Mus musculus: one gene and its partners. The protein of the gene in region 1 interacts with the protein of each later gene in a pairwise test. Links are inferred from orthologs where the notes say so. Each region holds a gene or a part of one and is shown in the gene's direction. Other genes may lie near its edges.

Evidence for each region.
Region 2: the proteins of AI837181 (region 1) and Csde1 interact in a two-hybrid assay, tested with the Homo sapiens proteins (2 studies listed by BioGRID and IntAct). The link is inferred for Mus musculus from reciprocal best matches to the Homo sapiens genes C11orf68 and CSDE1.
Region 3: the proteins of AI837181 (region 1) and Eif4h interact in binary tests that used the Homo sapiens proteins (3 or more experiments, as listed by UniProt). The two-hybrid records come from large-scale screens. The link is inferred for Mus musculus from reciprocal best matches to the Homo sapiens genes C11orf68 and EIF4H.

What each region holds. Positions count from the first base shown.
Region 1 is NC_000085.6:5,423,775-5,427,817, forward strand, and holds AI837181 (UPF0696 protein C11orf68 homolog), read left to right. Parts: upstream 1-1,369; 5' UTR 1,370-1,394; coding exon 1,395-1,534; intron 1,535-2,162; coding exon of another isoform or gene 2,163-2,176; coding exon 2,177-2,933; 3' UTR 2,934-3,543; downstream 3,544-4,043. Other genes in the region: Drap1 (dr1-associated corepressor), read right to left, coding at 1-117, 408-501, 587-659, 899-940.
Region 2 is NC_000069.6:103,019,226-103,023,348, forward strand, and holds the start of Csde1 (cold shock domain-containing protein E1), read left to right. Parts: upstream 1-1,320; 5' UTR 1,321-1,444; intron 1,445-4,123. UniProt on the Homo sapiens protein: RNA-binding protein involved in translationally coupled mRNA turnover.
Region 3 is NC_000071.6:134,636,607-134,640,566, reverse strand, and holds the start of Eif4h (eukaryotic translation initiation factor 4H), read left to right. Parts: upstream 1-1,157; 5' UTR 1,158-1,267; coding exon 1,268-1,326; intron 1,327-3,960. UniProt on the Homo sapiens protein: Stimulates the RNA helicase activity of EIF4A in the translation initiation complex. Binds weakly mRNA.

The sequences.
Region 1 (4,043 bases):
CGAGGACCCTTGTCCCCATCCACGTGGTTGTCCTCCCCATCCCCCTGCATGTCAGGCACTGATGCCACCAAGTCTTTCAAGAAGTCAAACTGCTGCTCGAGTTCAATGCACTGCTTCCTAAAGAAGTGGGAAAGGAAGGGGTTCAAATGGGGCCCCCAAAACACTTAGGGAAGGATACAAACAACTTCTTCGTGTCAGTACAGTGGAACGTTAAAAACACCCCTACTTCCACCAGGCCTCCTGGGAGGGCCGGTGGCTCGGATCTGGTTGTATTCCCTGCACCTGAAACACCTAATCTCTCCTGCATCAGTCCAAATCCACAAAGCTGGCCTCCCTGGGCCTTGCACCACTCCCCCTGTCGGAACTCTGCCTCCTCAAAAGCCCCTCCCAGCTCGGCGGCCACTCACAGGTGGGACGTGGTCATGGTTTTGGCATTTCGAGACTGGGTCACCTGGCAAGCCTTCTTCAACAGGGACTCCAGGAAGAGCTCAAGGGCCCGGGCTGAAGACGTCAAGGAGAATCCAAAAAGGGGAGTGCCGCAGTCCCGCCCCACGCCCCTCAGCCCAACCGGCCCCTAGTAGGATACAGATGATGACAGGCACAGCTGCCGCCACCTTCCCAATCTCTTCGTCCGTCTGCATGATCTTTTTGATCCGCGCCTGCCGAAAGGAAGAGGACAGAGCTCGTCTCTTGCGTCCCTAACACGGGGGACAGAGGGAACCGGGGGTATCCCGGGAGAAGGAGAAGAGGGCGGGGGGCGCTAAGTCAGGAGGGCATGGAAGGGGCGGGGCGTCAGGCCGTGAACACCTAAAGGCACCCGCCCCCCCCACCAGCAGGACCTGGGCCCAAGCCTCCCGGGAGCCCTGCCTGCCGGGGCCCATCCGGGCCACGTGCTCACCGGCGGAAACCGCGCGTTATACTTCTTCTTCTTGCTTGGCATCTCGGGGCCTCTCGTTGCGCCGGGCCCAGCGCCGCCGCCCGCAGCCTCCCGGCCCCGGGCCTGTCCGCCGCCGGCCCGCCGCGGTCCCCCCCCCCACCCTCCCCGGGTCCTGGTGCCGTTTACTCCGCCTACACCACTTCCCGCAGGGTCCTAGTGCCGCCCGTAGACAAGCAGCTCCCCAAACTCGAGCGCTGGGCTTCGGATCCTCTGGGGCGGTGCGCGTCCTTCCCCGGGCTCGCCCGCCACGCCCACCCGCCCCCCAAGCTAAAGTACGAACGTTAGCTCCGCCTCCCGAAGACCTGCACCTCCCGGGATTCTCGCGCCGGCTCCGCCCCTGGACGCTGCCCGCCCCTTCCCCTGGAGCCCCCGCCCCTAGCCTTCTGGTTCCGCCTCTGGCCCCGCCCCGTGACTGTGTTTGTCTATAAAGTTGTTGTTGAGGTGGCGGGACCCTAAGATGGCGGCGGCGGCGGCGGCCGTGGCAGGGGCGGGGCGCGGCGGGGGTGGCGGCGGCGGCGGCGGCGGCGCAGCAGATCCCGGGCAGGAACGGAGCCGGGCCCGAAGTTGGGTTGGCGCGGAACGGAGTGAAGGCCGGAGGTGACTGCGGGGTGGCGAGAGGGACGGCAACCCTTAAGCTGTGGGCACTAATGGCGGCGGATGTGGTAGGGCTGGAGCCTGGTCCTCGCGCAGGCCTGGTCCTATCTGGTTCGAGTCTGGATGGTACCCATTGACCCCCTGATGGGCCGCTGCCCTCTCTGGGGCTCAGAGCCTCGGTGTTTCACGGTGCCCCCAATCGTTCACCGGGGGAGGCCTGGCCCTCTACAGCCATCCTCTGAGGTTGGCGACCCTGCGTTTTGCCTACGTCCATTATATTGCAGCGCCGCGCTACCTTGCAGGACTCTAGTCCGGTGGTGTAGCCGAGCCCCGTGCCAGTTCACACTTAAGCTCTGGCGCTCTTTACGGGCATGACCTTGGGCAAGCCCCTTTTCTTAAGAGTTTCAATTTCCTTGTTTGTAAGCAGTGAAAGTAGTACTAACTATAGCTACTCCACCTCAGGCGTCTTATTCTGGAGACAAATCTAGACAGGATCAGTTGTTACCCATTGTGAAGATGAAGCAACTGAGGCACAGACATTATGTCTTGCCCAGGGCCACAGTTTACTGCAGTGCCTGGCACCCTCCAGGACCCAGCACTTTTTATTTACTGTCTCAAACCTCTGACTCAGTTCCCTCACAACAGGATGGAACCAAATGAGGAGCTGGAAGAGGAAGACTCTCCAGGTGGCCGGGAGGATGGCTTCACTGCTGAGCACCTGGCTGCAGAGGCCATGGCAGCCGATATGGACCCCTGGCTGGTATTTGATGCCCGTACCACACCTGCCACAGAGCTGGATGCCTGGTTGGCCAAGTACCCACCATCTCAAGTTACTCGCTATGGGGACCCAGGTTCACCCAACTCTGAACCTGTGGGCTGGATTGCAGCCTATGGGCAGGGTTACACCCCCAACTCAGGGGATGTACAAGGGCTGCAGGCGGCCTGGGAGGCTCTGCAGACCAGTGGGCGACCCATCACACCAGGTACCCTGCGCCAGCTGGCCATCACCCACCATGTGCTCTCCGGCAAGTGGCTGATTCACCTGTCACCTGGCTTCAAGCTGGACCACGCCTGGGCTGGCATTGCCCGGGCTGTAGTTGAGGGCCGTCTCCAGGTGGCCAAGGTGAGCCCACGGGCCAAAGAGGGTGGGCGCCAGGTCATCTGTGTTTACACGGACGACTTCACGGACCGCTTGGGTGTGCTGGAAGCAGATTCTGCCATTCGTGCTGCAGGCATTAAGTGCTTGCTCACTTACAAACCTGATGTCTACACCTACCTGGGCATCTACCGAGCCAACCGCTGGCACCTTTGCCCCACTCTCTATGAGAGCCGTTTCCAGCTTGGAGGCAATACCCGTGGCTCTCGAGTGCTGGACCGTGCCAACAATGTAGAACTGACCTAATGGGGCCGAGCAGGAGAGACCACCTTTTGCTTGGATCCTTCCTTCTTCTCTTCCTTGTCCCAAGAAGGCTGAGCTCCTTAGCCCTGAGGACTCATTGGCGTGGGAACTGCCTGCACTCAGTCCCTTTGCACTTCTGCTCTCTTTGTGCAGGGCCAACTCCCACCCTCACAGGTTGGGGGCTCTGGCTCTTGGAGGGCGGGGCCCTCGGCGGCCCTCTTTGATGCTGCTCCCCACCACTGCCCAGGACCACAGCTTGGGTGCAGAGACTCGAGGAAGTCTGTCCTGGCCACCTCTGTCCCCACTATACTTAGCCTGCATTCTTCCTTTTCTTTCCTCCCTCAGAAGGGAGAAAACTTAGTGCTTCCAGCCCCTGCCCTTGGCGCCATCATAGTCCAGGTGGCCGGGCCCTTCCAGGACTAAGCATGCTATTGGGACCTGTACATGTTCTGGCCAAGAGGAGACGCAGGGTCATGGACATGGGGTCTGCTCCTCCCTGCAAACTCATAGCCTGCATCACCACCACCCCTTCCCTGGCTACCTTGACATGTGCCTGCTCCTGACATTTCAATAAAACCCAGCTCGGGTCTGTGTCTTGAGTGTTTTTTACAAACACTGTCCTGATGGTTATCTGTGTTGGCTCTCGAGGAAAGATGGGGCCGGAAGAGACAGCTCCAGCCTGAGTGGGCCGCCTTCTCCTCCTCCCTCAGTGGTGAAAGTAGTGTGCTGCTGTGCGGAGGCCAGGCACCATCGCTGAGAACCTCTTCAGAGCTGTTCCCCTCTGTAACCATGGATCAAAATCAGTTTTTTAAGTCTTTCCAGAAAGGCCCAAGGCCTTTTTTGGTATATTCTTTTGGTCCCAAGGTATATTTGTTTTACATTTTATTTTATTAAGAAAGAGTCTCTCTCCCAGCACTTGGGAGGCAGAGGCAGGCGGGTTTCTGAGTTCGAGGCCAGCCTGGTCTACAAAGTGAGTTCCAGGACAGCCAGGGCTACACAGAGAAACCCTGTCTCGAAAAGACAAAAAAAAAAAAAAAAAAAAAAAAAAAAGTCTCTCGATGTAGCCTTGACTGGCCTAGAACTTACTATGTACCTTAGGTTGGCCAGTAACTC
Region 2 (4,123 bases), on another chromosome or scaffold:
TCTTAACTCCTTTCAGCTTTGCAGGTATCTCATGGCTCTGGCTTTTCCAATACTGGGGTCTCCAATACACACACACACACACACACACACACACACAGAGTGGGGGGACAATATTCATATTTGTTGCTTATTTTATTTTATTACATGTAATTTGTTCCCCTGAAAGCCCTACCTATGTCTACAGAGGTCTGCAGTTTCTCTGAATAACCAACTGAAAGTATGGGTAAGAAGTACACTTGGCAGGTTGTGGTGGCACGCCCCTTTAATGCCAGGCCAGGAGAAGGGGGGGGGGTATCTCATGAGTTCTAGGCCAGCTAGATCTACACAGCAAGTTCTGGGTGAGTCCCTGTCTCTCCCCCGCAAGGAAAGTACACCAGGATGAGAATGTTCTCCTCTCCCACAGAAGCAGGAAATAGATGGGAGTGTCCTCAGGGAGCTACCCTTTACCCAAAATGGTTAAGAGGACCACTGAAGTTGGGCATGGTTGTCCACACTTTTAATCCCACTAGGCTGAAGCAGGCAGATTTCCCAGAGTTCCAGGGCAGCATGTGCTACATGTGAGACCCTGTCTCAAAAAACAAACAAAAATAAAAAACCAACAAGATAGTAAAAGTAAAGTAATTGTTTTCTAGATTATTGACAGGGCAGCCTAAATAACTTTGCAATGGTTAGATCTAACCATTCCACTCCTCTACTCCAGTCAGGTGAATTATGCTTTTAGCCTGCTTTCAGCCTTTTAAATACTTATTCAGACTGACACACTACAAAAATCTTCTGGTAACTGAAACGGACAGTTAAAGTGGTTTGGGGAATTTTAGATTTTATTGATAATACAGCCTCGCTTATTTTTGTCTGTCGCAAGCAATGTAGTTTCTGGAAGACAAAAGCTTTACAAATTACTTTGTTAAAAACTTTTCTCTAAAGCAATGAAATCCCTTCTAATGTAGGAGACAGGAGAAAGCCTGTCCCGTGACTAAAGAGAAACTGCGATTTGGACTCCTGGATTATGGCTGAGGAAAGTGAAATCTTTTTATTCACGACACTCCCGGATCTGCCCTCAGAACTGTTCCTACTTCATAAGGCCTTCCTACTCAAGCCTCGTCGCTGAAAGCTTTCGGGCTCGCGAACACCGGGTGAACGCCTAAATTCACCCTTCGCCCCGCCCCCAGCGTCGCAGCAGAGTCACTAAACGCAGAGATTGCTTCTGGCACTACCCAGGGGCGAACGTAGAGAAGAAGAGTCACCGGCTTGCGTGTGGCTAAACGCAGGTCAGCGGCTGGCGTCACTCAGCCCTCGCGCGCAAGCGTACTAAGAGCACGCTCCCCCCACCTTCCCGTGCACGCGCTCGGAGCCTGCAACTCTCGCGAGAGAAGCGAGATTTATTCCTACGTACCGGGCCGTGCTGCTTATGGCGGCGCTGGAGAGGGGGCGCTGAGCTGTTGGGGTGAGTACGACCTCAGTGTTAAAGTGGGGGTAGCAACGAGCCAGGTTAAAGACAGCTGAGGAGACTCAGGTTAACGGGAGGGACCTCTGAGTGTCAGAGTGGGCACTCCTAGAATTCCGGATGGAGGAGAGTTCAGTGTGAGTTCCTACTCCAGGCGTCCCTTTTTCACCCTGGCTTCAACCGTCTCGGCCTCAGGGCCGGCCGCGAAGCCTTAGTGAGGAGGTGAGGCCAGGGGGTGCGGGTAGCGGCGGTGTCGGTGTCGGTGTCGGTGACTGAAGTGGGGGGAGGGAGCGAAAATGGAAACTCCGACCGCAGCCAAGATGGAGGCAGAGGGTGCGGGGCTCGGGCGCGAAGGCTGCCGGGAGCTGTAGTCCGTCCTCTTCCCCCTCTGCGGCTTGGCGGGGGAAAGGGAACTACAAGTCCCGGCGGGAGGGGTGAGGGGGTGGTGGCGCGGTCCTTTGTGTGCAGCTGGAAGAGGCCGGGGAGAAGGGCCTGTTCTTTTTTTCGGGACCTTGTCTGTCTTGGCCGTCACTGGCTTTGGGGATACTACTACGACTACCAGAGCGCAGTGCGGCAGTGGCGCCTTCTTTGTGTGTGGGTTGAGACCCTGTTCCATCTAGGGAAAGTGCTGCGGGACACCTCTGTTCCCTCAGCCACATCTGACCCTAGCGCGGCGGAATTGACACCTTTACTCACATTCTCTTGTGGCTGGGTCTCCACACCTAACTGTCCTTTGGCATTTGAAAAAGGAGTCGGGCCCCGTTCTAGGCACGTGTCTCCCACCTTTCTGTCTGGGGTAAATGGCATGCGTTAGGAGAGTTCCGTGATGCCCTCCCTCCGTGGTGCAAGCGCTGGCCTACATTGTGCAATGAATGGCTTGGCTTTGTCATGTATCTATCTAGTGTGAGAGCCCCAGTCGGAGAGCAAATTAAATTGGAAGATTTGACCGTCGAACGTTTCAACCATACCCAATCTTAGTGCCCCGGTTCTTTTGCTTTAAAGAGTTAACCTTAGAAACACCTTTGTGGCTGGTCTCCAACCTGACTCACAGGTGAGCAGGGAGTACTCCTTAACACTTTCCACTGCAGAAAACATTCTGAACATTATTAAACCACTTAGTTTCCTTGTTCTGCAACTAAAATGAGCAAAAAGATAGTGCTGTTTAAGCAGTTGAGGAGGACGGGCAGAAAGGAACTAAGGATGTTTAAAGATTGTAGTTGAGTTTGGACATTATGTTAGGCTGATGTGAACTTCTAGTTCACAAAACTGCCAAGTTTGTTTTTCTTTTGTTTATTGGTTATAGCCTTAAACTGTGCAACCTAGGTTAGCCTTGAAATGGCTGGCTGTCTAGACTGCTTGCTTGCTCTAACCTACTTTTTAAAAAAATAAGTTCCAAATTATAGGGCATTAATTCAAGCTACCAAAATGCTCAGTCTGCCCTCCCCACCCCCTTTCTTTTCCTTTCCTTTTCTTTTTTTGAGATAGGGTCTTACTGTGTAGCCTTGTCTGGCCTCGAACTCCGTGGACCAGGCTGTCCTTGAAGTTACAGAGATCTGCTTGTCCCTGCCTCCCAAGTGCAGGATTAAAGGCATGTACTACTGCCATGCCTGTCGATCATCTTGATTTTTAGGTACTAGAAGGCAAACTCATTACTAAATTGACAGGCGATATAATTATTAATGTGGATAAGAAGCAGATTGTGTACATAAACAGCCACGAATATGTAAGTTATAAAATCTAGGCAGTAGTTACCTGTCCCTTCTTTAGTCCCATCACTACAGACCTAGCACTTCTGAGGCAGAGGCAGGCAGATCTCTGAGTTTAAGGCCAACTTAATCTGCAGAGCAAGTTCTAGGACAACCAGGGCCACATTGAGAAACCTTGTATCAAAATATTAAAAACCAAAAAGAACCTTGGATCTAATACTTGTCCTTGTTTCTTTTCCTCTTAGAACTGGAATGTAAAGAGCTGGTAGTAGTTTGGTTTTGCAGCTGCTCTGATGTTTACCATCACCATGAGTATTTATAGCAGCTGAGTGGAAAAGCAGAGTATTTGAAGCACAGACGATAGGTTTTCTTTTTTCATAAAAATAAGTTCTGACTTAAGTGTGACCTTTATAGGAATGATTGGAAGTTGTGGTAAGTTTCCAGCTAATGAAAACTATGAACTGCTTTCTTTTTCTTTCACACCCTCCCTTCAGTCATTCCATTTTTATGTAATGTAAACCTTAGTGGGTTTTTTGTTTGTTTGTTTGTTTGTTTGTTTGTTTTTCTTTCTTTCGTTTTTTGAGACAGGGTTTCTCTGTATAGCCCTGGCTGTCCTGGAACTCACTCTGTAGACCAGGCTGGCCTCGAACTCAGAAATCCGCCTGCCTCTGCCTCCGGAGTGCTGGGATTAAAGGCGTGAGCCACCACGCCCGGCTAAACCTTAGTTTTGACTTTTTTTGAAGTATAAAGTTTAGTGGTATTAACTACATCTCTATGAGGGCTGTACTTTTTTAAGCAAGGTAGGTGATAGTGGAAGTTCCTTTTGAATGATATATATTTTTTTTTCCATTTTTTATTAGGTATTTAGCTCATTTACATTTCCAATGCTATACCAAAAGTCCCCCATATCCACCCACCCCCACTCCCCTGCCCACCCACTTCCCCTTTTTGGCCCTGGTGTTCCCCTGTACTG
Region 3 (3,960 bases), on another chromosome or scaffold:
ATTTTTTTTTTTTTTTTTTTTTTTTTTTTTTTGAGACAGGGTCTATGTACCTGGTCCTCCCGCTAGATGTGTGTGTGTGTGTGTGTGTGTGTGTGTGTGTGAGAGAGAGAGAGAGAGAGAGAGAGAGAGAGAGAGAGAGAAAGAGAGAGAGAGACTCATCTTCTACCATGTGGGTCCTGGGGATCAAACTCAGGTCAAGCTTGGTAACAAACATCCTCACTCACTGAGCCCACCTGCCCACCCTTAAAATTTCTTTTTCAGAGCAGACTCCTGCAAAAATAAAACATATCTAATCTCTTATCAGTTCAACTACAAACAGCCTCATCTTCACCACCCCTCCCCAATACCCAGACAGAGAATACAATTTGTTTTGTCTTTATAAGATTTATTTTGTTTTTTATTTATTTTATTTTATTTTGGAGACCAGTCTCAGTCTTCCTAGAGTAGGGATTACAGATATTTACCACCACGTCGTTTGTAGCAGGTCTCAAAAACAAAGATATTTCACTTCGTCTTGTTCACACACACACACACACACACACCATTCTCACTTACAAGCCTTCTGCCCTTGGTCATCTAGGGACCTCTACCTAGAACAGGTTGTCTTCCTTTTAGCTTTACCCAGGGACCATTTGTCCTGAAGAATTGTGCCCAAGTGGGACCAAGTGGGGCAGACCTAGGGCACTTTAATAAATCTAACGTGATACCAGAGATCCCAACATAGTGGCACACTGTCACCCCAGCCCTTGAGAAAGGGAGAGAGCAAAAAACAAAAAAACAAACCCAAAAAAACAAAAAACAAAACTAGGGGTTCAAGGTCATCCTCAGCTACAGCGCCCCAGCTCCAGGCCAGCCTGGGCTCCACAAAACCCAAACTGAATCTAGTGACAATGAGAAAGCAGCGTGCAGGGTGACAGACAACGCCCGAGGGGTAGGTGACCACGGGGCAGGGCGGGGCAAGGACAGTAAGAGGCAACCACGCGTGAAAGCAGCAAGCTAGCACACAATGGGCCTGGGAGGGCAGAGCGTGCGCGCGGCGCCCCGGGGGCCGGCCGCCGCACCACGTGGGCCGCAGAGCGCGCCGGGGCCAGCAGCGGGCCCCGTCGGCCCAAGGCCGGGCGCGGCGGCGCGCGCATGCGTGCGTGCGACTTGCGATCAGGCAGCGCGGCGGACAGCCCCGGTAGCGGGGCGGGCGGGGGGAGGAGGAGTTATATTGCGGGGTCCTTCCTCGCTGGCCCGCTGGTTCCTCAAGGAGCGGAGACGGCAAATGGCGGACTTCGATACCTACGACGATCGGGCCTACAGCAGCTTCGGCGGCGGTAGAGGGTGAGGCGAGCGGGGCGCGGTCAGGCGGGCCAGCGGCTCGGCCGGGGGGAGTGCCGAAAGGTTCGAAGGGGGAGGCGGCCTTGCCGCGCTCACTCGAGACGGGCGGCGGGAAGCGGCCTGAGCAGGCCCGAGGCGAGGCCTGGAAATGGCGCGCTCCGGGAGCGGCTGGCGACGGTTAGGCTGCGGGTCTCTCGCTTGCTCGCGGCGCACATCCTGCCCTCGGCTCCGCGCCGGCCCCGGACCCGGCACCCTGCGGGGCCTCGGTCGGAAAGTTAGATCACAGCGACACCGGAGGGTTTCCCGGGGATACCAGTGCCCGCCCGCCGCGTCCAGCTTTCTCCCCAGCGCGCTCCGGGCTGGGATGCAGCGCGGAAGCGGGCGGCGGCGGCGGAAGCGGCCTGCCCCTCTCCAGGGTCCCCGCTGCCTGGCGGAGCCCCTGGGTCGCTTCTGCGAGAGGCCCGCCGGCAGCGAGAGGGGCGATTTCCCTTCCGATTCGAGTCTGGATGCTGGGACCGTCGGATCCAGCGAGGGAGACAGGGAGCGGGGACCTGAACCAAAACAAATCCACCGTAGTGGGGAGTGTGCGTGGCTCTTTCTCTCTGCCTCCCTGGCGTTTCGAATGCCTTATTGACAGATACTACGTGTCTGCTGGCGGAGATTGTTGATTTCTTCCCAGTTTCTTCCCTGACCTGGGGAATCGCTTTCGCTTCGTTCTGATTCCGGTCAGATAAAGACAACATACTTTAAAACCAGTCCTCCTCCCACCTCCCTAAATCCTTTACTGATGAATAGATAGCTCCTGGTGCATAATTCCAAAAAACGGGCGCCCGGATAGTTTGTGCCCTTTTAAATAACACGTTACCAGCTGGGGTTGTGGCTCAGTCACAGAGCGATTGTCTAGCATATCTTGGATTCAGTCTCCTGCCAAACAATAGAAATAAACAAGCATCAGCCACTTGCTTTTTTTTCTTTTTTTTTTTTAAGCTTATAGGAGTTTTATGGGACAATTTAATCGTCTTGTTTATTTGTCAAGGACACACTTGGCTTTTATCCTTTTTTACAGCAAAGGTGACTTGCCCGGAGAATATCACAATAGTTGTACTGAGGTGTTGGGTTTCCTAGGTGGCTGCCCCCAAAGTGTCTTTTGTTAGGTGAAGAATGATCACCTTTAAATACCTGGGTTTGAGAGTGAGTCACAGTCTTGTTTGGTTGCAGTAGTGTACTGGGTACTCTTCATGCTTTCAGAAGGAGGAAGTTGGGGCTAAGGTGGAGCCACACGTATTTTATTTGCTAATAAAAATAAAAATAGGTGTTGGATGAAATGTTAGCATGAATACCCTTGGGGATGGCTTTCTAGGTATGGGATTTGTACTAACGTCCCATTGGGTTGTTTTTTTTGTTTTAAAGATAGAGTCTTGGTGTGTATGTAATTCTGGCCAACTTGGAACACGCCATGCAGACCAGGTGAATTCAGCCCACCTCTGCCTTCCCAGTGGTGGGATTAGAGGCCTGAGCCGGCATGCTCAGTTTGGGTTGGGTTGTTTTTCTCTACTTGAAAGAAGTAAATGTGCTCAGGGGCTCTTTTTTTCCTACTCGAATCCTCATACTGTAGAGAGGTTGAGGCAGGAGAAACCCAAGTTTCAGACAGCCTGGACTACATAGTGAGGTCTTATCTCAAAGGGGAAGAAAACGCCTTTGAACAAACTTCCCAACCTTTGATGATGATGGAAAGGTCATTAGACTTAGCACATGCCACAAATGAGACCCTTGAATAACTTTAAAACATTAGAAAAAAATTCAAATCTCTCAAGATGCAACTTATTTGAAATACTTATAGGCAGATGAAAATGTTAGCCATTTACCTAGATGATCTCTCAAAGCTAATTTGAGATTCTTAACTTTTGGTTTTTCGATACAGGGTTTCTCTATGTAGCCCTCCCTGACTGTCCTGGGACTCACTGTGTAGACCAAGCTGGCCTTGAACTCAGAAATCCTCCTGCCTCTGCCTCCCAAGTGCTGGGATTAAAGGCGTGCTCGTGCGCCACCAAGCCTGGCGATTCTTAACACTCCTTTAAGCATCCCTTAAAGATGTTCTGAAAAGGGCTGGTGAGATGGCTCAGTGGGTAAGAGCACCCGACTGTTCTTCCAAAGGTCCAGAGTTCAAATCCCAGCAACCACATGGTGGCTCACAGCCATCTGTAACAAGATCTGACTCCCTCTTCTGGAGTGTCTGAAGACAGCTACAGTGTACTTACATATAATAAATAAATAAATCTTTAAAAAAAAAAAAAAAAAGATGTTCTGAAAGTCCCTTTACTTATTAACACCTCTTTGAATTGAAATTTTCAAGTTGTTTTCTTTTTTTGGGATACAGTCTCACTATGTAGGTAGTCCTGGCTGTCCTTGGAAAACAGATCTCCTGCCTCTACCTTCAAGCACTGGATTTAAAGGCCTGCATCACGGGTACCAGGCATTTTGACTGGCTTGTTCACATGGAAGTACATTTTTCAATTTCTTTACTCATTTTTTTGGTATGAGTGTTTTGTCTGCGCATGTCTCCTTTCCTGGTGTCTAAAGAGATGTCTGGGATGAGTTATGAGCCACCCTGTAGGTGCTTTGGTAGAATAGCTGATG